Linked DNA regions of Mus musculus. The protein of the gene in region 4 purifies or fractionates together with the protein of the main gene of each other region. This does not show direct contact. Links are inferred from orthologs where the notes say so. Each region holds a gene or a part of one and is shown on either strand. Other genes may lie near its edges.

Region 1 (3,854 bases), on a different chromosome or scaffold from region 4:
AGACTCTTCTTTTGCCCTGAAAGGCCAGCATATGCAACAAGAGGTGGAAAAAGGAGCCAAACAAAACTATATATATATATAAAATTAGGATTCTTCATATATAATTTACTATATACATAGTATATATATATTCAATCTTTATTTTTAAGTTTTATATCCTATAATGTCCCTAACAAGACTGAATTAGCAAATACTGAACTACTGCTTTTAAGAAAGAGCAGGTTTCTAAAATCTTCTATTATGTTTCAAATGACCAAAGATGTTACTCTATGCATGCCTCTCTCTGAATATTAGACATTTTAATTTAATTTAAAATCACTGACATTAAAACTGGTCAACACCTTCTCTAACGTGTTTCCTCTGTTAAGACACATTGCCTTCTTATACTCAAGGGCACTACATGGAAATGCCCTGCCCCCCCAGTCACAAAAAATGTAAAAGACAAAAACAATCCCCACATCATTGTGGGACACATTATTTAAGCAGGGAGCTAGAGGCCAGGCAGTGGTGGTGCATGCCTTTAATCCCAGCACTGAGGAGGCAGAAGGAAGGGTATCTCTGTGAGTTCGAGACCAGCCTGGACTACAGAGTGAGTCCCAGCACAGCTAGGGCTACAAAGGAAGAAGGGAGCTAGAACACAGGGGCAGAGCTTCATCTATCCAGTGTCAGCCAGAGCATAGATGCGTGGGAACTCAAACCCACTGCTGCTTTGTGCACATCTGTGGGTCACTACCAGCAACCTGGGTATTGATTTAAAGTTGCATACCTATATGGATCGATACTGTGGTCAATTATGGATGAGAAGTAAGCATCACTGCACATAGAAAATTTTAAATTAGTGTTTTCCAATTATTCGTAAAAGCAGTATAAATTGTGTTGAAGAGAAAAAGTACTAAGGATCTATTAGAAACCTCATCGAAGCTCGGTATGTATAAGTGTTTGGAAATACAGCTAAGAGTACATTCTAGTTTGCAGTTTCAAAGTTCTTCTATATGTTCTTGAAAATCAATCATTGCTTTTCAGAGCATTAATTCTGCTGTTTTAAAGGAAGAATTCTGGTTCTTCTAACCTTTTCCCCAAATTCTATAACTGCAGCAGACATCCATGTCTAATATAAAGTACTTCACATTCATACTACGTTTCCATAAATTATAAAGTGTTGGAGACATTTCCTTAGCAGAAGCTAGGAAAACAGCTTCAAAGATGGGCAGGCCACTGAAAATGTCCCATTGTCCTCCCAAACTAATTTCAAAGGAAATACAGTATCTAAGTCGCTAGAATCAGATGTCTCAACAAAATTTATCTATTTTGTATATTTTAATTTTACATGCAAATAAAGCATGAACCAAGGCCTGCCAGCTGGGAAGTCCCATAGGAACAAGACAACTTGGTTCTAGGCAAGGTACACAATGGTCTGCAAGCGTGTCTGTATAAAGAAAGACCCTACCTACAAAGCTATAGGGGAAAGTCTGTGTCTCTCTGCTTCCTGCCACATATGTCTACTGACAGTGCATCAGGGATGATGCAATGTGGGCTGGTTAGCTTTTTGTCAACTCTATACAACCTAGAATTGTCTGGGAAGAGGGAACCTCTTCCAGTAGCCAAGTAGTCTGTCAGGCATTTTCTTGATTAATGATTGACATGGGAGGGGCAAGCCCAATGTGGAGAGTGTGACCCCAGACAGTGGTCCTGGGCTATACAAACAAGCATGTTGAGCAAGACATGAAGAGCAAGCCAGTAAGCAGCACTCCTCTATGGCTCTGCTTGGATTCCTGCCTCCAGGTTCCTGCCCCTTTTGTCTTCATGATGGAGTATAAACAGTAAGACAAAAGAAATCCTTTCCTTCACATGTTGCTTTTAATCATGGTGTTTATCAGAGCAACGAAGAACAAACAAAAACAGGTAGACTGAATGAATGGGATTGGAAAGACCACTTCAAGAAACACTCCTATATATGACAGAATACTTGCACTCTCACCCCCTGCCACTGATTGGTACATGGTGAAAAATCAAAGGGCTTTAGTCTGGAGCCAGTAGTCTTTACCTTCAATATCTTCACCATACTCAATAGCTCAGCCCAAATACTAGTCTGTCAACCAGGCACATTTTGGGCTCTCACTTTGTCTAACTCTTTGGGGACTGTGCTACTCAGAATGTGTCCCCACCTAGCTGTGGTTTGTGGTTAGAAGAGTCTCGTTAAGATGACATGAATACTTCAAATACCAGGTCTGCTGTTGGGGCTGAAATGCACCATTCATTTTGTTCATGTGACTATAATAGACTCAGACCCAAGCAGAAACACTCAATGACATGCCAATGGTTCTGCATCACCAGGCTTAAGGGGAAGCCACCAGCTGTGTTCTGAGGATACACAGCAGAGGCAAAAATGCTTGTTGGGCTCAGAGCCTCAAGATATTAACAACACTCTTATGCTAACACTCTAGACGTCCATGTTGTTCCAGGAAGCAGACAGTCTCTACCCTGGCAATGGCCTTCCCAGGACACTTACCACTAATGGGGTTGGTGCACCCAGCACATTTCTTAGCGTACAAGTCACAGAAGCAGGTCAGGCAGTATGGAAACTCATCCCGTGCTGTGAAGCGTTGCCCAGATAGCTGCTTCTTGCAGGCTGTGCACACAAAGCATTCCTTGTGCCAGGGCTGCTCCCGGTAAGTAACACCTCCTGTGGTGATAGGCTGGGGGAGACAAGTGTATGAGTCAGGGCTACCCCTGTTTCTGGTAAACATCTGTCACTGCTGTTGCCCATGAATGATGTAAGACACGAGCCCCACCCACAACAAATATGCAGTTTGTTAAAGTCGACATGGAGGGACCTGTGGCTCCAGCCACATATGTAGCAAAGGATGGCCTTGTCAGTCATCAGTGGGAGGAGAGGCCCTTGGTCCTGTGAGGGCTCTATGCTCCAGTGTAGGGGGATGGCAGGACCAGGAAGCGGGAGTGGGAGGGTTGGTGAGTGGGGGAGGGGATAGGGGGTTTTCGGAGTGGAAACCAGGAAAAGGGATAACATTTGAAATGTAAATAAAGAAATTATCTAATAAAAAGAAGAGAAGAGGAGAGGAGAGGAGAGGAGAGGAGAGGAGAGGAGAGGAGAGGAGAGGAGAGGAGAGAAGAGAAGAGAAGAGAAGAGAAGAGAAGAGAAGAGAAGAGAAGAGAAGAGAAGAGAAGAGAAGAGAAGAGAAGAGAAGAGAAGAGAAGAGAAGAGAAGAGAAGAGAAAAGAGAAAAGAAAAGGAACTTCATACCCCAGGCACCTCATGTTATCATCCATACCATTGCTACGGTTCCTGGCTTTCTCCCTAGTGATGTGGGGTCTTTAGGTTTCACAGTAGTGCAGGGGAACAGAAGGAATGAGTGCCATGGGGCATTGTCACCATCCCAGATAGGAAGGTAGCACAGTGGTCAGAGATAACATTGAAGGCATCGACTGCTACTTCTGAGCAGCCCTGAGATCCTGTAGCTAGAGACCTCAGTACCTCAGTTCTGTCTACAAAGTCGGAGTGATGAAGAGAAAAGGATGAATCTCTGTGGAAGCCTTCCTTCAAATCCCAGCAACTGATGGCCTCTCCAGCTCTACTCTCATGCTCAGCCTGTACAGTAACTAGAGAGGCAGAAAGGCAGAGGCTTTCTGGAACCTGCATCTGCTGGCGTGGGACCCTGAAGGCCTTTATCCTCGCCCTATCTTAAGTCATAGGAGGTTTCTGAAGAAGCTTCAAGGTGATAAACAGCTTGCCATACCTCAACTGCATCCAGTAACCTCCAAATATTGCTCTCCATATGAGTTTAAATCATGGTGGAGAGTAGAATCAGAAGTCAGGGGAGGCTAAGTGAGCCTCAC
Region 2 (3,854 bases), on a different chromosome or scaffold from region 4:
GTGTGAGATACCATATAGAAATTAAGGGCCCAGAAGACAATGCTGGCTCATTATTTGTATAGAGTGGCAAAGACAGTGAAAAGTCAAAAGTTCAGACTTGCACTACTAATGAATAAATACACTAACAGGGAAAAATGTCCTTGATTTCCTTGTGGGACATAGGTGCAGACTTAGGGGAAGGAGAAAGCAGAGAAGAGGAAGAAATAAGAGGTACAAGGAGGAGTTTAAAGAAACAGAAGTAATTTACAGAATTCATGTGATTGACACAGCTTCACTTCCCTTTAAAGGTGATAGAACTATTTCTAATTCCAGCATGATGGTACATGCTTTTAATCCTAGCACCTGGGAAATAGAGACAGGAAGATGGAAGGAAGCCAACACGAGACTGTTTTAAAATCAAATACAAGAGCTTATGCCTAAGTAATAGGGAATACACCAGAATAGAAAATAAAGTACACGAAGCCACCCTGAAGATAGAGGACAGTATAAAACCAAGAAGAAGGATCCTTCTGCTTCAGATGCAAGTATAATAGAAAGAGAAGGGGGTGGGATAGGGGGCTTGCAGAGGGGAAACGGGGAAGGGAGTTAACATTTGTAATATAAACAAATAAAATAACCAAAAAAAAAAAAAAAAAAAGGTATAATGGAAGGAAGAATAAGGTTTCTAAGTATGGAAAAACAAGAATAAAATTTCAGTCAGTCTCAATTCTAATTAGATGTAAGAGGTTAGATGCTCATCTGATAATAGAAAATGTCTGGAACATGTTGTACAGAAAACGTGACACAGAGTAAGAGAAAATCAGAGGCTTCTAAGGATGCTAAGGATGCAGGTTACTAGGATACTGTAGGCTGCACTGGGGCAATTCTATCACCTTCTGTAGCTCATGTAACTAAAAAGAAAAAAAAATAGAAAAAAAGGTCTGTCTCAATAGGATTCTTAGGTACTGAGCTCTCAGGCAGAGTGGTACAAACCTTTAATCCCAGCCTTCAGGAGGCAGAGGCAGGCAAGATCTCTGAATTTGAGATCAGTCTACATAGTGAGTTCCAGCCCAGTTAAAGCTGCATAGTAAGGCCCCGTCTCAAAAAAGAGACAAATAAAAATGAGGATAAACTTTGAATTGAAATAATGGTAAATTGAAAGTGTCTTTAGATTGGCCAGCTGATTTCCAAGAGAGAATGTATTGTCTCCTTTCCTGAAAAATGTTTAAAAAGGAAATCTGTACTTAGCTACAATGATGTGTTTCCTCTATTATTTAGAAAAGATAAAACATGTAAGAATAATGGCACCTTTCACTTATGTATAGATTACATTGTGCCAGACACGGTCCTAACATCTTTCATTAACTTACTGAATCCTCACAATACACTGTTTTATTATATAAATGAGGAAACTGAAGCACAGAGATGCTAGGTAATTTATACCAAAGGCCACACAACTAGTTAAGTGACTGGTTTAGGATTTAAACCACTCAAGAATTCATAGTGATCTTAACTAGCTATATCCCTATTATATTTGTCTTCTCTACAGATTTAAAAGTCTAACTAGTAACTATGTACTGTATATTTGAAGACTGCTGAGAGTAGACTGTACACAGACACAGACACACAGACACACAGACACACAGGTCAGGTGTGGTGAATGAAGCCTGAAACACCAGGACACAGTATATAGTCTTAGGAAGGAGGATCATCTCAAGTTCAAGGCCAGACTAGGTTATAGACTGAGGCCCCATCTAAACCAACCAACCAACCAACCAACCAACCAACCAACCAACCAACCAACCACCCACCCATCCACCCACCCACCCAGGGGGAAAGTTAATATGTTCCAAGTTTCTACACTCAACTTGGTTATACCACAAGGTATATTTCAAAACATCATGTTATGCATCCTATAAAGATACAATTTTATTTACTAGCTACAAAGTTAAAAATGCAGGCAGGGGGCTGGTGAGATGGCTCAGTGGGTAAGAGCACTGACTGCTCTTCCAAAGGTCCGGAGTTCAAATCCCAGCAACCATATGGTGGCTCACAACCATCTGTAACAAGATCTGACTCCCTCTTCTGGAGTGTCTGAAGACAGCTACAGTGTACTGACATGTAATAAATAAATAAATCTTAATTAAAAAAAAAATGCAGGCAGGCCTGGTGCAAGTCTGGGTTCCCAGCATCTTGGGGCTTCTTAGACAGACAGACTAAAGAGTCATTGTCAACCTAGACTACAGAATAAGTTTCAAGGAGAGCCTGGGCAACTTAGTGATCCTGTTTCAAACTATAATGACAATTGGGGATACAGCTAAGCGGCAGAATATTTGCCTAGCATGTGCCAGTCTCTAGGTTCTGTCTTTACTTTAAAAAACAAAAACAAAAAAAAAAAACCCACAAACAAATAAACATCAAAAAACAAAAAACAAAAACAAAAAGCTAAAAACCCAGTAAGCTAAGCATGATACAATCAACTATAAATCCCACCACCCACTCCGCACTCTCAGTAGATGCCTCATAGTCCAGGCTACCCTCTAACTTTTGTAGAGTGGACAACAGCCTTGAACTCCTGATGCCCCTGCCCCTACTTTCCAAATGTTTTAAGATTACAAGTATATTATCAAACCTGGTTTTAATAACTTTTTGATGGGTAGAGGTGATTTATTGTGAGTAAATAAGAGAAATATAAAATGTAATATATGGATATTTTAAAGTGTTATACACTGAGATTTTAAAAACAAATTTTCTAGGGCTGGAGAAACTGCTCAGTAATTAGGAGCATATACTACTTTAGCAGAGGCCCTGGATTTAAACCCTGGAATCCATGTCAGGCGGCTTAAACATCTGTAAGTGCATGTTCAGGGAACAAATGTCTCTAACCTCCAGGGGCACCTGGGCTTACATGCAATCCCTCCCTCCACTCATACTTAATTAAAAAACAATAAAAGCAAATCTTTAAGAAAGAAATTTCAAAAATTTAGAAATTATTTAAGGAATAAAATAAGGAGATGACAATAACCAAGAGAAAAGAAGTAAAGTCTGGTGGGGCAAAGGTTCAAAAGGGTAAGGTAAGCGTAAGAAAAGTAACTTTAATCTGTTCTCCGAGGGACAGGCAGATACTTAACAGTACAGAAGCCGTTGGAATAATGATCTTTCACATAGGCTCTCAGAGCACTGTCACACGACTCCCTCCAAGACTTCAAGCCTCCATCCACATCCTCTGGCTGCGGGTCACTTGCTTCTTTCCGTAAATGATCAAACTTAAAGGAAATTTGGTTTCTTGGATCTAAAAATCTGCTGTTACCAAGGTCACCATGCTCTGTAATTAAGACCTTCCAGAGAAGAATTACAAATATAAGTAGTTCTATAAAAAAGACAATTCTTATGTTTTGCAAAAAGAAATAATATCCTAAGAAAATTAACTTTTAATTTCTTTTCCACAATGACTTTTAAAGCACGTATCATTTTTATTCTCATAAAAATAAAACAATGTTTTCTTCCTCCCAACAATACCCTTTATATCTTGATTTCTAGCTAATGTATTATCCATGTATATATATTTATACTAGCACACCAATTCTCATGTATTCATTTTTACATATTTTATAAAATTTTTCAGGGCCATTGTATTATTGTGAGCACTTAAGTAATACAGCTACATGGTCCAAAAATGTACTAAATGAAATCCTTTTCGTGTTCCTATCTCCTAAGCAGCAGATTCCTTGAGTAACTTAGGCTAATTCTAAATTAATGTCTCTGCTATTTTTGTTAGACTTCCTCTGCACTGCTCTGGAACCTACATGTCAAGTCAATGGCACTCTTTTTTCCTATGGGTTGGTGGTGGTGGGGAACCCACCTAATATTACCAG
Region 3 (3,854 bases), on a different chromosome or scaffold from region 4:
ACCACAAAAACCACACCCTTACTAACTGTGGTTAAGAGAGAAGAATAAAATGCCAACTCTCGCAGCCTGGCAGAGTGCCCATGCTTGTCAGTGGGCCAGGAACACTGTTGTCAGAAATGTGCATCCTTGTTTCACACCTTGCTTACTAAGAGCCACGCTCACCGTAAATTCTCAGCGTCTTCACTCACTCTCACTGACCATGCTTCACACTAGAAGCTACGAAAGCAAATTCCTGGTTTTTCAGAAACCTACAGTTTGTTTTCTAAAAGAAACAGGTACTGTGTTTTAAATTCAAAAGAGCAACACCTACACCTTTCTTGCAATAACTATTTTCAGAATAACTATTCATATGGATTGTCATCAGCAAGAGAGCTAAAATAAACATTTCTCCCAAGTTCTCACCAAAATTCATCCATGGGAAACATCTAGGAAAAAGGAAATTTTACTTTAAGTAAATAAAGTCATTTATATTTCTTAGATCAAGCAATCCACTCAAGAGTTACAAGTTTAAAAACCAATCCAAATACAGTTGAACAATAGAAAGGGAAGTTCTAGTGAGGTATTATTTTGATATTTTGGTCTCTGAAGGCGTTTCCCCAGTATCCAGTGTCTTCAGCAACCGGAATAGGCCTGCAGCTTCCCGTATCCTACTAAATTCAATGCAGAAGGCCTGCACTTCTATAAACAAGTCCTGCACGTTAATAATTTTGTTACGGATCAAAGACTGGAGAAACACACACACAAGACGCACCAAACGATTCTGGAAAAGAAAAAAGGAACAAGTTTTAGAAACTTCTTTTCTTGGCAAATGACAATGTTATAAGCATTTACATTACTCACCTGCATATATTTATCCTTAATCTGTTCACAAGTAGAAATGCAATTGGATATGTATAGGTGAATAAATTCAGGAGGTAGGTCAACAGCTGTAGTTAGTCTGTTTCACAAAAGAAAAATCTGAGCTGTTAACTGTGTTTGCTAGTATTGGAAAGTACTGTAATCATGAAGTCAAGCCTTCCCTGTGATCATCTGATAATGATTTATATGACCCAATTCTCTAGTTTTAAACCCAAGAGCCACAGGCACTTAACCTCTGATGCTTCTGTTAAGTGTGCATCACGAATTATACTCTGAGATGATCCATTAAGCAGTTAGTATCCTATCCCTGAGCGTGCCTGGCTGGATCACTGTCAATCATGGTCTCCCTCCTTCCAAGCCTCAAATAACCAGCAGTTGTTGCCATCACTTAAAACTTAGAAAAGTCCTGTCAGTTTAAGCACTATGAGAGGCAGCGTGTCTGAGGTGACGTATAGACTAAACAGAACAACCTATAATCAGACTAACGTAGAGCTTTGAAGAAACATGAACCTGGCAAAAAGCCTTGAAAAGTTACTTAGCTGATATGGAGCAAAAAGGCCTTCCTGAGAACTGAGCAAGACAAACAGGCTTGGAGTCAGCCATTACACAGGAACAGCAGCTGTGTAATAAAGCTTAGAGTCATTGAAGCCAAGACAGTTCTTCCCAAACACGTAAGTGAAGTACTAAGATATGGAGTCAGGTAAGAATTCCACACTGAGTTTAAGTTCAGCCCAAGAAGCATTTCAACACTGGGCTGGCAACTGCAAACCTTTTGCTACAAGTGTGAAAAGGTAAATGAATACATGCTGCCTCTTCTACATCTATGCATCCTTAAACTAAGGCACTGAAGTACCTTAAGAAAAGCTACAACTGGGCTGGAGAGATGGCTCAGCCGTTAAAGGCTAGGCTCACAACCAAAAATATAAGAAAGCTTCAACCAAATCCCAGCACTCGGGAGGCAGAGGCAGGCAGATTTCTGAGTTCGAGGCCAGCCTGGTCTACAAAGTGAGTTCCAGGACAGCCAGGATTATATAGAGAAACCCTGTCTCGAAAAACCAAAACAAACAAACAAACAGAAAAGAAAGCTACAACCAGCCACCATACCCACTGAGACCTGCATCAGCAAGGCTGCTTAATACTTGGAAAAAGCCAGAACTACAAGAGTGCAGTGAGGGGGATCCATGAACACTCAGATTGCTCCATCCAAAGACAGAACTTAGCCAATGCAAAAAACAGCAACTGTGCCAGGCGATGGTGGCGCGCACGCCTTTAATCCCAGCACTTGGGAGGCAGAGGCAGGTGGATTTCTGAGTTCGAGGCCAGCCTGGTCTACAGAGTGAGTTCCAGGACAGCCAGAGCTATACAGAGAAACCCTGTCTCAAAAACAAAACACAAAAAAACCAGCAACTGCAACTATAGTAAAGGAGGTGCCAGCAAGGAGAGGTGGAAGCAAGCACCAAGTTTTCCACAAGAAGCCAGGCAGCTCTGCCAGTGACAGAGTCTTACAAAGTAACTGGAAACCCATGTGCCTTTCCTCGCCCAGCCCTTTCTTGTGCACAGAGCTACCAGCCAAGCTGTCACCAGATGACCAGACATTCCTTAGTTCAAGTTTGAAACAACTGCCAACTTATATATGGATGCTCAAAAAATTGTAACCTGGTTCATACCCATGATTCCAGCATTCAGAGAATGAGGCAGACAGGCTGCTATGAATTTGAAGCTACTAGGATACTATGAGATCCTATCCAAAAAAAAAAAAAAAAAAACCTCAAAAAAAATAATACCCCATCTACCTCTCACTACATTTAATTCACAATTTACCTAAACAATATCTGTAAGGAAAATAAAAGACAAAAACTATACAGAACACATCAACAGGGAATTCATTCTTTCCTTGATGTTTAATGAGCAAAATCAAGAAAGAACTGGGAAACTGGGTGTGCTGGTCCACATCTTTGATCCCAGCACTTGGGAGTCAGAAGCAGGTGGATCTCCATGAGTTTGAGGACAGCCTGGTCTACACAGTGAGTTCTAGGACAGTCAGGGCTCTACAGAACAACAAAGCCGGGAGAATACTAGTAATCACGACAGCATGCCTAGATGACCAGTTCTGAGACCCACACGCACAAGCTGCAACTCCTGGCTGCCAAGGAACATAAAACCTGAATTTGTAAGGGGCACGTGACAGTGAAGTAAATTCAACAACTGAGTTCTTATGAATTGAAATCAAATTCATATGCAGTGAACAGCAAAGATTAGTCAGGGTAACAGAATCAGGAAAGGGGAGAGAAACTACTCCAGCTTTTCAGACTTCTGGATCATATAATCAGGGCCTGTGTACCCGCTCTGGTGGGACATGAGAACTTACCGATTTACAACTTCCATTGAATGTAAGGACATGTCCATGTTGACCAGGACAGAGAAATACTCCGTGATCTGGCTTGACTGCATCAGTTTCAGCAGCATTTCTATAGCGACTAAAGGGTTGTTCTCCACTAGATCTGGAAGTTTCGCTGGAGTAAGGCCAATGTGATAAACAAGTTTGGGATCTTTTTCCAACTCACCGAGGAGCTAAAAAAGACAAGTTGAGAGGTTCTTGAGTTATGTTAGAGAATTTTCCTGTACACAAATGGAAATGTTTTATATAAATTACAAAAATTGTCTTTGTTAATTTGTTAAATTTCTTCCCTCAAAGCCAATACTATGTCTTCATATATTTTCAGATCTGAATTGCAATGGCACAAAAATAAGCGACAATTTAAAAATCTACTAGTCATTCTTCCTCTAGACGTGGTAAGCCTTGGTTTTGTCTAGTAATATACACTATGACAATAGTGTCATTCTTAAAGATCTTAATTACCAACTTCTCCCAAATCACACAACCAAGTTGATTGTGGTAGCACACAAATAATACAAGCACTGAGGCAGGAGTTGCCCGCCTTGGCTATGTAATGAGCTCAAGGCTATCTGAGATATATGGCAAGACCTTGTCTCCA
Region 4 (3,854 bases):
AGACCCAGCTAGTAACTCTAACTCGCTGGGTAACTCTGCACAAGGCACCACTTCCTCTGGGCTTCAGCTGCCTGTCTACAAAACAGCTCCTGGACTCAACGGGAATTCCAGTTGTAAAAGCCAACACTTAACAAAGCATTTATAATGAGCCCAACACTAACCTCGGTCCTTTTACATGCCCTAACTCATTTAATCCTCTCACTCTCTGAGCTACAGCCTATCACACCCTTTGACAGACACAGAGACTGAGGCTGAGGGTAGAAAAGTATCTGACTCACACCTGGGCAGGGAACTGGTTAGAGCCAACTGAGCCCAGGTAACAGACCTACCCTAGCAGATGAACCCAGGCCCTCCAAGTCCGCACAACACTCCCTTGCATAATAGGCCCAGGGAAAACAGGTTGTCTCCTTGCAGTGCTGTACACTGCATGAGGCACTGTCTCCAGTTCACTGGAAGGCTACGTAATGAAGGTGCTTACAGCACAAGCACTGGCACTCAAGTTCAGCTCCCCAGTACCCAAAGGACTTCGGCACGTGTCTTTAATCCCTGTGATGGGATGGGGAGGCAGAGACAGGAGGATCTCTGGAGCTCGCCAGCCAGCCAGACTAGGTAAATGGGTGAACTGCAGGTACAGTGAGACCCTGTCTTTAAAAACTAAGATGCCTGGGGGGCTGGAGAGATGGCTCAGCAGTTAAGGGAGCTGGCTGCTTTGCCAGAGTTCCAGAGGTTAATTCCCACAACCCTCTGTAATGGAATCTGATGCCCTCTTCTGGCATGCGAGTGTACGTGCAGATAGAGTACTAACCACATAAAAATAAATAATAAATCTTTAAAAAAAAAAAAAAGATACCTGAGGCTGATGTGGCCCGTGTATGTGTGTGCAGCATGTGCAGACACTTTTATGAAAGGGCAAAGGTTACAATTACGTTTCACTCCTAAGACCGCTCAGCTAGCGAAAACTGGTGTCAGGACTGGAACTTAACAGCTGAGCCCTAAGCACAGCCCTAGGCAGTTCTGCAAGCACCTGCAAATAATGAGATGTGGGTGCACAGCCCTCTGTGGTGTCCATGTTAAAAGAATGAAGCCCACCTGCACCCTACCCCTGATGCCCCATCCCTCCCTCCCTTTGTCCACCTTACCTCAGAGCAGGTGCTTGGTGACTGTCTATCCTTTAGCTCAGCTCCAGCTGCCCGCCGCGCACTGCCCGAGTTGGGTGGTGGTGATGCTAGGAGGTCATCCAGCCATCGAGAACTGCTTTCAGGGCCTGTAGGCTCAGGAGACACACTACAGGGTTCCTGAGCCTCTGTCATGGGCAGGGTCGTCTCCGCCCAGCCTAGGGTCACCACGTCCTCCTCAGTAGACAATGCCTGCTCAGGATCGGGCACATCCACAAAGAGGATGCAGGGTTGGTCAGAGGGTGTTGGCTGCTGCTGTCCCAGCGCTGGCTCTAGCACAGGTAAGGCCGCCTCCCTTGCAGCCAAAGTAATGGGGGACTCGTGCCCCACTAGTGGCTCCTGGTCCTCATAGTTCTCCTTTGCCTGCAGTAAGGGTGCTCCAGGTGGGCCCTCAACTGTAGAGGGAAGAAGAGCTGGGGACCGAGGCTGACTCTCTCCATCATCTCTCTGGGGTAGGGATATGCCTGGATCATTTCCCTGAACCCCAGAAATAGGCTTTCTGGGGCTCTCTGGAGCTGGTGGGGTTCCTGGTCCCACCTGGGACACACCTTCCCCCCTGCCAGATACAGCCCAACTGTCAGCTTCAGCAGCCTCTGCGGCCTCACTGGCTTCTGTAATGGGAGATGGAGGTGGGGAGTCCAGCCGCCACACGCCCAGACCTGAGGGCCTTGTGGGAAAGGTCCACTCAAATGACTGTGACAAGCTCCAATTAGACTCTGTCCCGCTTCCGAAGGGACGATCTAAAGCAGATTGGCTCCCCTGACCTTGGGGCAGAGTAGCCAGCGAGCCTCCCAGCTTCTCTTGGTCCTGGCTAGGTGGCTGGAGCACGCCTTCTGAGAAACGACGCTGAGCCAGGCTGCTGGGACGAGATTCCGTGTGACCCCTGGCTGCTGCCTCCTCCCCACAGGGGAACGTTCGTGTAATGTCCGGCAACTCAGCCCCCTCAGTCAGGAGTTGAGGCAAGAGGACTGGGGGCTGCTCTGGGCTGTGGTGCCCTGAGACTGTCTCCACAGGAGAGCTGTTGGGGCTGAGGGTTTCTGGGGCTGCCTCAGCAGGTAACTCTGAGCTAGGAGAATGGCCGGGAGGCTCAGCAGGCAAGACTGCACTGGGGGAGGCTGGAGTCACAGGGAGGCAGATGGAAGAAGCCTCAGAAGCTGCAGGACTTTGGGTTTCTGAAAGTTGAGAATGGCAGGGAGAACTCGGGCGGCTTGAAAGCCGGGGAGACTCCGAGGCTGGGACAGAGATGTTAGCCAGGCGGACTGCACTGGTAGAGCCGCCATGCTCTGAAACAGGGTCTGCACTTGAGGTGACCCAGGTCTTGGAAACCTGCAAGAGAAAGATCAAGAGTTGTCACTCGGTTCTCAGCTGAGTCTAAACTCACACAGGGAAAGGCTCAGGAGGTGAACTCAAGCAAGGCTCCTCTACCAGGTCATCGCCCCAGAAAAGGTGCCACATTCTAGTCACTTGGCAACATTCTCACTGTTTCAGTGGCTCAAACCCCAAGGCTCACCTAAGGTTCTCCTCTGAGAGGCTACAGTTCTCGGGCAAATGACCCACACTTTATAAATAGAAGAAGGGGGAAATGTTGACTATGTACATGAAACGAAGGGAGAGGGCTTGCCCCCAGAACACTACAAGTTCATTCCAAGCCCAGAGCATCTCCTAGGATGGCCAAGTGGAGGAATGGATCTCCATCCTCTGCTCTGAGCACAGGTCTCAGTACTACCCAAGGGAGCACGGAGGCTGTGGATTCAAGCAAAGAATAAGGGGAGTCCTGAAAGGCACGTGGCTTCTAGCAATCCTTGGACTGTCTCCTATAAGTTGAACATCTCATTTCCACGGGATCTCTTCGGTCCTCGGGTTCACACCTGTACTTTAGGACTGATACCAACGTCTATGTCAGAGTTAGATAAAGATTAAATAAGATTTATGCATATGGGCCCCCGGTATAAAAGAAAAAGAAAAATCTGCTGTGGTTACTGGGAACAGAGAGAGGAGATGACATCAGGGAAAGGAAGGAGACAGAGGTGGCACCAGGCTTCTGGTTCTCCTGCACTGTTCCACTCTGCTTTCTCCCAAACACATTAAGTGAATTCACTTAATTTGAATGAATACAGACACTTGCCCAACTTCTGAACCCTCCCCGCTATGCCTGAGCCACTGCCTCCAGTGTTGTCATCGCCTGCTGGATCTACTTCTTTTCCAACCCCTAACCCCAACCCCCAATCTCCCCTGCCATAATCTAGTTCCCAAACCTGTGCCTTTAAACTGTATCGTTAATGCCCCATCCCATCAGTCTCCTGAGAGCCACTTATTCTTTGAAAACAGTGGTCACTGGATGACCAAAAGCCTGCCAGCATCACCTTTACAATTCAGAGTGGTTCCGAGAGCAGTCAGCTCTCTAGCATCCTTTGGTTCCGTTCCCTGCACTCTTCTGAGGTCATCCATTTAGCCCCAGCCCTTCCCAATAACTCTCATCACCACCATCTCCAGTCTCAGCTTCAAGTCGGCCACCAGCCCAGTCCATTTCCTATTTGTCCTGTTCATTCTTTTTATGTCCCCAGCTCTCTCATTCCTCAACCCCTTTGGGAAGCAAGGGTCAGGAACCCTACTTCCTCCTCGCAGCTCCATCCCCCCACCCCCACCCCCACCCCAGCCCTCAACTCTCTTTTACCACTA
Region 5 (4,622 bases), on a different chromosome or scaffold from region 4:
TGATTCTCTTGTTCCACCATATGGGTCTCTCAGATCAAACTTCTATCATTAGGCTTGGTGTCAAATGCCTTTATCCAGTCAGCTATGTCATTCATTTGACAGTTAAAATTTTAATCAAAAGATACTACAACTTAATATCACTTCAAAACAAAACAAAACAAAACAAAATTGTATACTTATTTTTACTGGTTTACTACTATCTACTCATACTCTAGTTAGATACAAAAATCAAATTTTCTAATCAAGCAAATTTGGCCATTAAAAAAAAAAAACCTATACTATCCCATGTCGTGTAAAAAAATTCTATAATGATCCATTAAAGTTTAAGTTTTGCTAATATTAGCACCTACTTAAAAACAAGCAGACTGCCGGGCGTCACACTTTTAATCCCAGCACTTGGGAGGCAGAGGCAGGCGGATTTCTGAGTTCCAGGCCAGCCTGGTCTACAGAGTGAGTTCCAAGACAGCCAGGGCTAAACAGAGAAACCCTGTCTGGAAAAAACAAAACGAAAGAAAGAAAGAAAGAAAGAAAGAAAGAGAGAGAGAGAGAGAGAGAGAGAGAGAGAGAGAGAGAGAGAGAGAAAGAAAGAAAGAAAGAGGAGAAAAGAAACAAGCAGAACACGATTACTAGTATTTCTAACTTGCCAGCAGTATAAAATATTTATTTTTGAAGTTTTAAATAAACCTAAGGCATCTCTGAAAAACCAAAAAGCACCTACCTTTATATAGGGAAATTAAAGGTAATTATTATTTTAGGGAGCCTATTATTTGGAGTTTGATTTCATTTTCAAATCAAATAGTTCTCAGATGGCTAGGCTATAAACCACTCACAGACATCAATCTGCTTCATTTTCCACCATACACCATTTATTTGTAAGCACTTTAGAAAGGCTGTATTTACTGATACGTTAATGTGCAGGCCACTCTCAGCCTGGAGCATCTGGTAAGGTTACAGGTATCTCTAGACTGCATCTGAGAACCAAAGTGCTCTGCCAACACATGCACTACCTTATGTGTGTCAATAAAGCATTAATAGGAATGCAAAAAATAAAAAAATAAAAGTCAAATACAGTCTTTATTTCTGGTCTAGAGTTAAAAACAAAAACAGGCACTTTTTTAAAAATGAAAAGGTTTCACTTTAAAATTAAGGATCTTGCAAAGTCAGCAAAAGTGAAAAGTGGAAGAAGTTGTCTGTGCATTTTGAACTTTTCCTTTAGCTTTAAGATGACAACAGACTGGATAGGCAGAGCACAAGGGACCATTTAGAAAACATATTAAAGACACAAAACCTGAACACAGACAAATATTTGAATGTAGACAACCATTTCAGTGTACTGGATTTTTAAACACTTCCAACTTGGAATAAAATTACCTTACAAAACTACAAAGGTGACTTCTGAGAAGGAACTGTTGTTGAATATACAAAGCATTCCCAAACATAAAACTGTTGTGAAAGTTACCACCCACTTATTTGGAAAGGGAAATCTATAGGAACACGATTCCATCTCCCTAAAACTTCTCACTATAGAGAGTAATAGAAAATGTATTCAGTTTTGAACATTAAGTGTGTCCCTTGTGAACAGATCTGGTTAACGTTCTACCATTTGCCAATAATCTAAGGATCATATTGCTGTATTTTATTAGGAACTGTCCAGATGATTAAAGAGAAATCTTTGACTAAGGATTTAATGAAAATGAAGCAAAACACTCTTAACACTTGTCTTCCCAGATGTTGAAAAGTGGAGATGTCCCCCTAGGATTTCCAAGAAAGTACCTATGTGTAAGATTTATTTATTTTTATTTTCTTTTGGAGGTAAAAGCGTACTGATTGGATCTAACGTAAATGCAAATAACAAAACCTTAGAAATAATTTTACAAAAATAAAATTACAATTAGATTTCCCGAAGGGCCTACAGATAACAAGAATTATAAGCTTTTCTCCTAAGCAAACAGTACCTCAATTAAGAACTACCGGGTTTCTTTTAACCCAACTTATTTCTTCTATGAAACTTTGAAGTGAAGACCTAAAACAAAACGGCAAAAGGTAGAGGGGGCCCGGCGGAAGTAGAAACCAGGGCTTGCAACTTCACAAGAGTGGCTCGGGTTCCTCCTCCGCCGCCCCAGGACCATCGGAACTCAAGAGGCTACACCACTAGAGAGGCTTCCCACTCCAGGCACGGGGGCAGAAGCAGCATCTGAGTTTCTCTCTCGCCTTTCCACCTTGCAAGAAAGGCCCCTTCGGTATAGCTCAGGGCCTGGAGGCTCCCGAGGCCCGTTAGCCAGTGCGATGTCCCCATCTTACACAAACAAACAAATAAAAAAAAAAAAAGAAAGAAAGAAAAGAAAACCACACAAGTGGCGGAGGATGCGCGTGTATGGCCAGAAACGTAAAGCTTCAAGGACCAGCAGCTGCTGGGAACGTGGCAGGCAGGAGCCGTGTCCAGTGGCCGGGGCTCCTGGATGCTGCTGCCGCCGCCACCGCCGCCGCTGCCTTCTCTCCTAGCCCAGGAAGCAGCACGGCGGCAGCGGCTGCTCCGCGCCGGCGGGAGCCGGGGAAGCCCCGCGGCGGGCAGCGGGGGCCCGGGCCTAAGCTCCGGAGCGGCTGCGGCTGCGGTAGCTGCGGTGGTGGCGGCGGTGGCGGCCCGAGCACGGCGACGCTTTACGTCCCGTCCACCCCGCCACACACCCCCTCCCTCCTCCAGCGCCGCCACCCCCTCCCCGCCCGCCCGCCCGCCCGCTCCGCTCTTCCCTCTCTCGATTGGAGCCGAGACAAAAGCAACGGGAAGCGGCGGGCCGGGACGCTACCCGCGGACCCCGGGCGCGACCGGACCAGCCCCGAGGCATTCCCCCGCCTTGAGGGGGCCCCCAATCCGCCTCCCCCGCCGCGTGCCCCGCCGCCAGACTTCCGAAAATTGGCCAAAAACTCACCGCATGAATTTTCTTGTCCCGCGGATCCAAGATGGCGACGTATCCACCGCGGAGGCTGCTGGGAGCAAGACCTTTACCCTCTGACCCCCGCCGTGACCCCCGTCGCTCCGACTCCGCTCGAAGGCGGCGGCGACGGCGGCTGCAGCAGCAGAAGCCGGCGAGCGAGCGAGGCTCGCCGAATGGACGGAACGCCGCCCGTACGCCAGTCGACCGTGAGAAGCACAACGCTCGCCTGGAGCCTTCCCGGGCTTCCGCCGCCTCCCGCGGAAGGTGCGGCGCTGTCTTGTGGCGGTGACCGAGGAGAGTGGGGCCTGGGCGGCCTCTCCGGGCTCCCGAAGCCAGACCGCCGCCACGCCGGGAGCTGCTGCGGCCACGCCTGGAGCTGCGGCCTGGGGTCCGAGCGAGCGGGCGAGCGCGGCCTCGGGGGCGGGGAGAAGCCGAGGGTGGCGTGGGTCCGCCCACCGGGGGACGCGCAGCGTGTTTGTGTTTGTGTTTTCCTCGGACACCCCGCCCCCGAGCACCTCCTGCGGGCTGTCCCCGGGCTGTCCCCAGCCTGCTGCGCGGCGCGGTGCGGTGCGGTGCCTGCGGTGCTTCGGTCCTCCCACCGCCCCGCTGCCTGCGCTACCTGGGTGCGCTCCCCCAGACACCCGCCGCACGCCGCCCGCACCTCCCGAGCAGTGAGTTCCCCTCCGCTGGAACCTAGGCGTTTGATCGCCGCCCCCTCTTCCTTTTCATGCTCCCCTTTTTTTTACCTGCCCCCCCCCCCCCCGGTCTAAACCTGGTGAGAGGAAGTAAGGGGGAAGCGTGTTTTTAAAGCACTGCCGGGAGTACTTAATCTAACCGAACGGTGTTTGTGGCACTTTATTTAGTTCCCGCCCGGCGCGCCCTTGGTAAACCTTAGTGACCAGCTGGCTCATCCACTAGACCTTTTGAAAATACGGTGGCTGTGGTTGGGAACTAAAGTGTTTTGCTCTCCAAAGCCGGACTGTCCCTGAAAGTGAAATTACTTTTTATTGCTGTAATACTCTTAGTTTACACCTTTGAACATCCACAAACTTCGTGTTTTACGGTTACTTAACTTGCTAAAAAGCCTCTTTGTGCTTTGAAGTTGCGAGTTTCATAACGTATCGCTGTTCATGTTTGAGTGGTAGAGCTTACTAATGCGGATTACTACTCATTTGAAGTAAATAAAGTTTCTGCTGTAGTTTAATAAATTACCTCCTTCCAGCCCGCCAGTCTATATAGTTAGATATAGATTCTGTGATAAACGGAAGCGATATATATTTTTATCATAGAAAGCTAAAGGCAAGAAATAGGATACAATAGCCTACGGTGAAATTAAAAGTACCTTTGTCATGGTTTTGAAAGTAATTTGACATAGCAGATATGCAGTATCAGCAGATATGCAAATTTGTTTAAATGCGGACAGGAACTGGTGTAGCCAGTAGAAAAAAAAGGTTTATTTTGCTAGGTTGTTCATTTCATTAAATACTCCTTTTCACCGTTTTGTGTTTTGTTGGTTTTTCACTTTAGGGAAATTCAAGAAGGAACAACACAGTCCTACATGGCCCCTCCCCCAACCGTGCCTTCCTGTCTCGTCTGCTTTCTCTTCCTCTCAAGTTAGCATCTACTGCCATAAGGTAGTGTGTTCAAAGACTGGCTACTCTAGGCGTGTGCAGCTCATGTGCGTGAATG
Region 6 (4,360 bases), on a different chromosome or scaffold from region 4:
AAAACTGACTATCAACAATTACGGTCCTCCTTCAGGAGCGTTTCAGAACCGTTCTCTTTGAACTCTACACGACAAGTTTATACAGTTTCAAATTCACTAAAATGCTTTACTATAGAATTCAAATGACCTTAGAAAGAAAAACATAAAACTCTTTTTGGCTTGGAGTTTCTATATGTAAAATTTACAGGGTCATAGGGCAAGTTAATGCCTTTAAGGGACTTCATTCATTGTTTCTTCAGCTAACTTTACTTCCTTATTAACACTGTGGCCAAAAGAAACTAAGCCATAAAAATCACAGTACATTCAGTCTAGTGTCCTAGATACTTTCCCCCTTTTGTTTGTTTTTGAGACAGGGTCTCCCTGTCTCAAAAGAACTCAGAAGACCAAGCTAAGCTGAAACACGTTCCTCCTGACCAGCCTCCAGGGTACTGGGGATTACAGGTATGCACCAACACCCAGCTAATCTCTTTTTGTTGTTACTTTCTGTAAGGTGGCCTCAGAACTAGAGATCCTCCAGTCCCAGTTTCCTCAGTACTTAGATTACAAATCTGCTCTGCCACACCCAGCTATGATTAATTTCTAAAATGCCTCATTCCACAGGGGCAGTAAGAAACTATATAGCAGTAGCACACAATGTTCACATTACATAAAAATAAACTAGTTAAAAATGGTGAAAACACAAGGTTACCAGTTAGCCTTTTCACTAAGTATAAAAAACAAACTTAGAACCTGATACTATAAAGAACCATTGCTTTCTTTTTAAAAATAAGCAAATTGAAAACCAATATATAACCCCAGGATAGTCCTATAATCAACTTCAAGGGAACATAATGGCATTAAGTATACAAGCAAACCTTGAATTCTGATAAACTTAGGTTTAAATTTCACCTCTGCCATTTCCCTCCTATATAAGGCCTTTAAAACCTTAATTTACTTACAGGTAAAGGATAATAAAACTATCTACCTCAAACTTAAGTTAAAAAAGAAAATAGAACATTTTTCTTACATGATAAATACATATAAACTACACTATTATACATTGTAGTACCTCCCCTTCTTTAGACCTGCAAAACTGAAATGTAAAAAGTATTTAAAACTTACTCCTGAAAAATCACAAGCAAGGAAATAAAATAGAGAAGCATGATTTAAGAACTGGTCCTAAAATATCACAATTAAATCCATTTCTGATCTATATGGAACACCTTCCTAAAACAGTACAAGTCTACTGGGAAATAAAAGTGACAAAATATTGTTTTCCATTTACTGGTTATTTAAATTTCACTAGAAAGTTTAACCACTGATCTCTTAAATTAGAAAATACTGTTATAAAAATCTGTATGTGAAGTTACTACAGAATATTCCTACCTATGTCACAAAAAGATGCTAAATCTAAGCTTAAAATTCTCATTAATTTGTTTCCAACGTTATGCCAGCAGGTGAACTCATACACTACTCTGTAAAACTCAGCACACTGGGTGTCAAGGAATCTTCTCATTTTATTTTGAAATTTCCGGGCCTTTCCAACAACATGGCAAATCTACATTAATTCCCACCCTAACAATTCTCTTCTCACTATCTTCCAAGCCAATTGAGCTCCTCCTAATAATTATATGAAAGTACACAAAACATGAAAAAAATCGCTTCAAGAACTTTGAATCTGAAACGCTATTTTTCTTGTAATGCGCTGGTATATTTTCAATAAATAGCTTTAAACTATTCAATGCTACAAATGTAAACACTGTACAGCAACTTTTAGCGACTTAGGGTCTAATTCTGTGAATTAAAGTAAGGTATGCTTGTCCCCATTTTGTTAAGTTATCACCATTTCATCCAAGGGCACAAACGAGAAAGCCAGAACACTTCCAAAACCATAAAAGAGGCTGAGTTCTGAACAACCAAAGAGAAAGAGAACACTAATTCTGGTGCAGTATAAAAGGAGAGGGTCCCAACTGAAAATATCCTTAGTGTTTCTCTAACACCCTACTAGAACTGAGTTCTGTTTCCCACATGGGTGTACTTCATTTGGAACTTAAAAACAAGCTAAGATCAGACATTTCCAAAGGGCAGCACACTCATATGTCAGTTAAGTCTAAGTTTGAAAAAAACGTCCCGGTCTTTTCCAGAAAATACTCAAAACGTATGGCGTTCCCCCTCACACTACTTGCCCCTTGGTACGCGGTCTCCTCAGTCGCCAAAGAAAATGGGCAAGAGCCTTAGTTCAATGATCAGATTTCGTATCACAAATGTGAGAACTTGAGTCGTGCATTTGGTCCTAATGCTGTCACAGCATTTAACACACAGTAAAAGGAGTTGCACCCGCTCGCCCTCTTCAGAGTTGGTCCTATCAGGAAGATGGGATGTCACCAAATCTGCCCCAAGAGGGGGAAGCAGCCAAGTTGGGCAGAAAATAACTATGGGAGGGAGGGGTGTCTTTGTGAACAATACTGCCTTCCGGGGAACATGGGAGCAGCAATTAAAAAAAAAAAAAAGGTAATGACAATATTAATAAAAGAAATAGATGGCGGGGGGTGGGGGGGAAGGGGCGGGATGTGGAGACGGCGACCTCCGGAGGGAAGGAAACACCCTGGGGAACCAGGAAGCACTTCGCGTTGGGGAGGAGAAACTGCAGGAAAAAGTGAGGGTCGGCTATGCCGTCTTCCCCGCCCGCCCGCCTCACGGCGAAAGCCCCAGGCCAGGCGGCGCCGCTCCGCCGTCGGCCGCTCCCGAGCCCGGACCCCCAGGGCCGGGTCCCGCCGCCCCCGCTCCCGCCCGCGGCCGCCGGGCTCCGCTTCCTATTTTCGGAGCACACACCCTACAAGGAGCGGAGGGGCCCGGCCTCGGGGAGCCCGGGCAGCACCCCGCTCGGGAAGCGCAGGCGTGCGGCCCACCACCGGAGCCCGCCCGGGGTCAGACTCCGGCCCTCGCGCCTCGGCACTCACCTCTCCCGCCCTCCCGCCCGCCCGGCTCCTCACCGCCGCGGCACCTACCTTCTCCTCATCGGACAACTGCTCCTCCAGATCCGCCATCTTCCTTCTGGCGACAGACCGTGGCGCTGGTGGCAGCAGCGGCCACCTGACTTCCCCCTTTCCGAGCGGTCTTCCGCGCCGCGCGCCCCCGCCAAGGGAGGGGCCCCGCCGCCCAGGCCGCCGCGCACGCGCCCCGGAGCTCCGCCTCCCGGGAGCCGAGCCACTGCGCACACGCCTGGGAGCTCCGCCTCCTCAGCCTAGGCCGCCGCGCACGCGCCCCCGGAGCTCCGCCTCCCTCCCCCTGAGCGCCGGCCTGAGCGCCGCTGTGCGCGTGCGCAGCGCCTCCAAAGTGGGATTGCTATGGTTATCTTCTGTCATCCTGCTCTGTCTGGTGCCTTCTCTAGTCAACGATGACCATATGGACCCGGTTGGCGATGAGTACATTCTGAGCCCATGACTTTGTTCCCACCAAGTCCTGAACGCTGCCAGCTAAAATGTGAAAAGCTGTACCAATTTAAAACATTTTTAAGTATTAGGAAAAATACTGTTTTAATTGAAATAGGCACACACAATCCAGTCCATAATTGAAAGATTACTTTTGATATATTCATTTATTCATCCGAAAAACATTTATTGGTCTTTTATGATAGGAAGACTATTTTGCTAGTTCTTAGGAATAAGAAATGTAGATTTAAAAACCCAAACAAACAAAAATCCCAAAGAAAATGCTCTTAAGCTCACCTCTATTAATTAGACATTGAGTTAGGGAAGGCATTGTACTCCTGGAAAGTAAAAAAAAAAGAAAAAAAAGTTAAGTTAGCCTTGGATCTGTACCCTCATGAACTGGCTGTCCAAACTACTTACAGGTCATCCAGTAGAAATTTCAATTTCATACAACCAATTTTTAAGGTAAATGTCCCATGAAGGATTTAAAGCATTCTAAAACCATTATTTATTATTTTCAAATTTTACTGGATGTCTCCTACTTTTATTTGCTAAATCTGGCAACTCTACTACTGAAGCTTCAAGTTAAAGAAAAGGGGGGGGGGTGGAAGGTTGAAGTCAAAGCTGACACAGGAAGCAGCTGGAAATGTTGATAAAATTGAGTTGCTAGTTCAGCAGGCCTGAGCAAACCAGAGAATCTATATTTCTTACAAGCTCCCAGGAAGGAGGAGTGCTACTCGTCTGAAAACCACACTTTGTTTTTACCAAGGACTAAGAGTTTAGTTAGTAGTTAAGACTTCAATAATTAGAAAGTGAGAAGCTCTTGAGGGCATTTGGACAGTGTCACGACATGAACCGAACATGCTCAGCGGTGTCAATCTGACAGCTGTGTGTAAATGACAGGTAAGAGGACCCTAAAGAGCTCAAATAGCTATCTGGGTCCAAGAACA
Region 7 (3,854 bases), on a different chromosome or scaffold from region 4:
ATTATATGTAAGTACACTGTAGCTGTCTTCAGACACACCAGAAGAGGGAGTCAGATCTTATTACGGATGGTTGTGAGCCACCATGTGGTTGCTGGGATTTGAACTCTGGACCTTCGGAAGAGCAGTCGGGTGCTCTTACCCACTGAGCCATCTCACCAGCCCTCTTAAATATATTTAATGCAATTAATATATCAACATTATTCTGGGCTGGAAAAATGGCTCAGCAGGTAAGATAACTTGGTTGGAAAGATAGCTCAGCAGGTAAGAGCACTTGCTGTTTTTGCAGAGGACACAGGCTCAGCCCCAACACAGCATGGTGGTTCACAACCATCCATAACTATAATCTAGGAGATGGGATGCCCTCTTCTAACCTCCTCAGACAGCAGGCACACATTTAGTGCATATACACATGCAAGTAAAATACCCACATACATAAAATACAATTTAAAGTATCTACAACAAGACAAAAATCCAACCAAGGAAAACACAAAACCAAAACAAACCTTATCCTGTTAAGATAAATACCGCAGCTTTGAAGAGAGATTGTTTATTAAGAATAGGATCAGATAATTTAACTAACTTTTTTCTTTTTTTTGGAGACAGGGTTTTTCTGTGTAGCCCTGGCTGTCCTGGAACTTATTCTGTAGACCGGGCCAGCCTTGAACTCAGAAATCTGACTGCCTCTGCCTCCTAAGTGCTGGGATTAAAGGCATGCACCACCACTGCCCGGCTTAACATAACTTCTAAAACATGGTTTAAAACATTCAGGCCTAAGATATTATAGAAATTACTTGGTCTAAATTGTGCTTCTCAACCTTCCTAATGCTGCATCCTTTAATACAGCTTTGTTGTGGTGAACCCCAACCATAAAACTATTTTTATCGCTTCTTAACTATGATTTTTCTGTTATGAATCATAATATAAATATTTGTGTTTTCCAATGGTCATAATTGATCCCTGTGAAAGGGTTGTTCAACTTCCAGGTTGAGACTCATTGGGCTAACTAATGTGCTAGTTCCGGATAAAGTCATCTGAAGCCTTACTTTGAGATTTTTGCAGCTCTTCATGAGGTACTTCACATCATAAATGACAGGAAAAAATAACCGAAGGATCTCAAAGAAATCAAGTTCTTCCTCAGGCAAGTTAGAGTTGGTCAGAATTTTGATTAAATAGCCAAAGTCATAACCACTAATAAAAAGATTAAAATAATTCAGAAAAAAATACATTAATACCATACAATGAAAGAAATTAGTTTTTCAGATAGAAAGTTAAACAAGTCATACTATAGGCAAAAGGATTAACAATAACGTACACACAGGAACAATGAAAAGAAACACGTCCATAACTACAGTGCAGAAACTGATCACTCAGCATCTTGAACACATGATAGTATAAATTTAACTCTACAGTCACTAAAATAACATTTTTCTGATATGTAAGCTGGAGAGATGATGTTCAAACATGAGTATTTTTGACCCCCAATACCCAAGTAAAAGCTGAGTGTTTTATGTCAACCACACAGACATGCAAGTGCACACCCCAAAAGATAGGTTCAGTAAGGTCACTGCCACAGTGAATGGGAAGGTATGTGAAAATGTAATAAACCAGCAAGACTTAACATGCCAAAGGCAAAAATCATGTAAAACCTTGTCACCATTTACATGAGATGGTGACACTTTCCAATTTCGAAGAATAAATCCCTAACAGAGTATTTCATTTCCACTAAGTGACTTAATTAAGATGTACATTTCCTCAAATGTTTCTATGTCAGTATAACTCTCCGAGACAGTTGTCAATGGAAAAGTTAAATGTGACAGGAACTAAGGAAAAGTAAGAACTGGTTTTTTATACAATACAACCCCCTGCTCCCTCAAACTGACGTCACACATCCTTTATCACGAGTCTTCCCACAGCGGCCTAACTCCTTCCCCTCCTGAAGTCCTCCTGTGAAGGGCCTGTGCCAGCCTTCCCTGAAGCCCAACCCCAGACATCTCCGTACAACAAGCGTTTGCTGGTGCTGACCTTTAGGTTCATGAGTTTCCTCCACTGGGTTAAAGGAGAGGAATTATAGCTATAAAGTATCTTTTTCTTACCTATAATTTAAACTCATTATTTGGCAAATGACCTTACTGAGCCTATCTTTTGGAGGACAAACAAAATCAACTTTTATTTGATGTTTATTATTTTACTTGTAATTTGAAGGAGGAGAAGTTTTACCATAGAAGATCTTTGGTACACGCACCCAAGAGCAGGTATGTGTGGTTTTGGTTTTGTTAAAAGATCCACAGCACTGTTCTCAGTGAGGTACTAGACAGACTCACGGCAGCTAATTCCTTCTAGAGCTAAGCACAACACTGCTGACACAGTAACCCAGACAGACGTAAAAGGCAGATGGGACAGAAGCACACTGCAACCCCTTATTTATTTATTTATTTATTTATTTATTTATTTATTTATTTATTTATTTATTTATTTATTTATTTATTTATTTATTTTTTACCTGTGAAATGATAGCCATTTGACCCCTTCACAAAGAACCACTCCTGAAGTCATAAGAAGTTCTGCAAAATATTGGGTCTCAATTCCTTCCTCCTCGTGTTTTTTAAACTGGATACCAGATGTTGTTAGTAGCTCTATAGAGTCCTGAGCATACATGTCCTCCCTGGCAGGAGAAAGAAAACGAAAGTTCAAAATTCCCATTAAACAGTTGTTCTCCACTTATGCCTACAACTACAATGCAGAAACAAGACAGAGGATTGGTTTATGTCCAACCATTCAAATGCTTCACAATGATCAAGAAAAATAAAATATGAGGTATCCAAAAAGTAAATAATCATTCAAAAAGTCCAATGGTGAGTTCACCCTTAACACCAACTCAATTTCATCAGCTTCTAAACATTACATACATTTCACTGGGCTTAAAAAGGGTCTTTTACTCACCAGAGGCTACCACAGACATGTTCTTTTCAGTCTCTGCAGCTATTTTAGTGCTGCCAGATGGAGCTGTAACCACAGCCATGAGGGGTTATGCACACCTCTCATGCTCTCAGCAGAACCAGGAAGGAGACACCAAGTGGCCAACATCTCTTGTGGCTGAGTTAAACTACATTCCATCTTAAAGAAAAAGGAGATGCCTCCTCTCACAAATGAGGAGCCTTTCAGCGGCTCTAGTTAAGCAGTGAACTGTTCAGATAAAGACTCAGTTATGACATCATTTCTTCTTCAGCAATCACATACCTACATTAGAGGCAAATACAATCCTAGACGACTACCTTAAACCAAGCCAGGAAGCACACTATAAACCAGCTCTTCAAACTTTTACTTAAACCACACAAAAAGCCACCTATAGTTTCTAAGCACAAATACATTAAGTATTATATTAAAAAGTTGAAGATTCATGAAAAAGTATCTTGTGGATTTATCACTTATTTTTATTTACTTTTTAAAAAACCTTAACATTGGTTTCTACCATCAGCAAAAGAAAATTTCTATAAAAGACTTCAATAAAACTAACAAAACCAAAATTAATGTTTGATTTTCATCAGATGTATTTTTGTAGCTTATTCTCTGGAAATCAATTTCAAAGGTCAGTTTAGTTCCCAGACTGTCAGGAACTAAATGACAAAATTAAGAATTGAAGCATCTAAAAACAGAGAGGAGCCACAGTCATCACTTTCAAACATCATGCTTTCTCTTGAAACATCCTGTAGGAAAGATATCAGAATAAATTCAATGCAGGCCCTCCCACTACCCTCGGTTAAATTGTTTGTTATACTAAAAATATGTCCCTTAAATGAGGTCCTTGGGCTCACACTGAAGCTCGTTTAAACACGATTAATCAATCAAGAATACAG

The links.
Region 1: the proteins of Tnks1bp1 (region 4) and Fhl2 purify together in Homo sapiens (affinity purification with mass spectrometry; 3 studies listed by BioGRID and IntAct, with this or other methods). This does not show direct contact. The link is inferred for Mus musculus from reciprocal best matches to the Homo sapiens genes TNKS1BP1 and FHL2.
Region 2: the proteins of Tnks1bp1 (region 4) and Capza1 purify together in Homo sapiens (affinity purification with mass spectrometry; 3 studies listed by BioGRID and IntAct, with this or other methods). This does not show direct contact. The link is inferred for Mus musculus from reciprocal best matches to the Homo sapiens genes TNKS1BP1 and CAPZA1.
Region 3: the proteins of Tnks1bp1 (region 4) and Cnot11 purify together in Homo sapiens (affinity purification with mass spectrometry; 5 studies listed by BioGRID and IntAct, counting the BioPlex papers as one, with this or other methods). This does not show direct contact. The link is inferred for Mus musculus from reciprocal best matches to the Homo sapiens genes TNKS1BP1 and CNOT11.
Region 5: the proteins of Tnks1bp1 (region 4) and Cnot2 purify together in Homo sapiens (affinity purification with mass spectrometry; 5 studies listed by BioGRID and IntAct, with this or other methods). This does not show direct contact. The link is inferred for Mus musculus from reciprocal best matches to the Homo sapiens genes TNKS1BP1 and CNOT2.
Region 6: the proteins of Tnks1bp1 (region 4) and Capza2 purify together in Homo sapiens (affinity purification with mass spectrometry; 4 studies listed by BioGRID and IntAct, counting the BioPlex papers as one, with this or other methods). This does not show direct contact. The link is inferred for Mus musculus from reciprocal best matches to the Homo sapiens genes TNKS1BP1 and CAPZA2.
Region 7: the proteins of Tnks1bp1 (region 4) and Cnot7 purify together in Homo sapiens (affinity purification with mass spectrometry; 4 studies listed by BioGRID and IntAct, counting the BioPlex papers as one, with this or other methods). This does not show direct contact. The link is inferred for Mus musculus from reciprocal best matches to the Homo sapiens genes TNKS1BP1 and CNOT7.

What each region holds. Positions count from the first base shown.
Region 1 is NC_000067.6:43,125,735-43,129,588, forward strand, and holds part of Fhl2 (four and a half LIM domains protein 2), read right to left. Parts: intron 2,697-3,854; coding exon 2,510-2,696; intron 1-2,509. UniProt on the Homo sapiens protein: May function as a molecular transmitter linking various signaling pathways to transcriptional regulation. Negatively regulates the transcriptional repressor E4F1 and may function in cell growth.
Region 2 is NC_000069.6:104,836,672-104,840,525, forward strand, and holds part of Capza1 (F-actin-capping protein subunit alpha-1), read right to left. Parts: intron 3,318-3,854; coding exon 3,111-3,317; intron 1-3,110. UniProt on the Homo sapiens protein: F-actin-capping proteins bind in a Ca(2+)-independent manner to the fast growing ends of actin filaments (barbed end) thereby blocking the exchange of subunits at these ends.
Region 3 is NC_000067.6:39,541,975-39,545,828, reverse strand, and holds part of Cnot11 (CCR4-NOT transcription complex subunit 11), read right to left. Parts: intron 3,430-3,854; coding exon 3,227-3,429; intron 938-3,226; coding exon 841-937; intron 761-840; coding exon 563-760; 3' UTR 1-562. UniProt on the Homo sapiens protein: Component of the CCR4-NOT complex which is one of the major cellular mRNA deadenylases and is linked to various cellular processes including bulk mRNA degradation, miRNA-mediated repression, translational repression during translational initiation and general transcription regulation.
Region 4 is NC_000068.7:85,056,773-85,060,626, reverse strand, and holds part of Tnks1bp1 (182 kDa tankyrase-1-binding protein), read right to left. Parts: intron 2,502-3,854; coding exon 1,140-2,501; intron 1,118-1,139; exon of another isoform or gene 1-1,117.
Region 5 is NC_000076.6:116,578,526-116,583,147, forward strand, and holds the start of Cnot2 (CCR4-NOT transcription complex subunit 2), read right to left. Parts: upstream 2,987-4,622; 5' UTR 2,933-2,986; coding exon of another isoform or gene 2,928-2,932; intron 2,680-2,927; exon of another isoform or gene 1,956-2,679; intron 1-1,955. UniProt on the Homo sapiens protein: Component of the CCR4-NOT complex which is one of the major cellular mRNA deadenylases and is linked to various cellular processes including bulk mRNA degradation, miRNA-mediated repression, translational repression during translational initiation and general transcription regulation.
Region 6 is NC_000072.6:17,635,788-17,640,147, reverse strand, and holds the start of Capza2 (F-actin-capping protein subunit alpha-2), read right to left. Parts: upstream 3,139-4,360; 5' UTR 3,027-3,138; coding exon 2,988-3,026; intron 1-2,987. UniProt on the Homo sapiens protein: F-actin-capping proteins bind in a Ca(2+)-independent manner to the fast growing ends of actin filaments (barbed end) thereby blocking the exchange of subunits at these ends.
Region 7 is NC_000074.6:40,498,252-40,502,105, forward strand, and holds part of Cnot7 (CCR4-NOT transcription complex subunit 7), read right to left. Parts: exon of another isoform or gene 2,941-3,854; intron 2,663-2,940; coding exon 2,501-2,662; intron 1,189-2,500; coding exon 1,044-1,188; intron 1-1,043. UniProt on the Homo sapiens protein: Has 3'-5' poly(A) exoribonuclease activity for synthetic poly(A) RNA substrate. Its function seems to be partially redundant with that of CNOT8.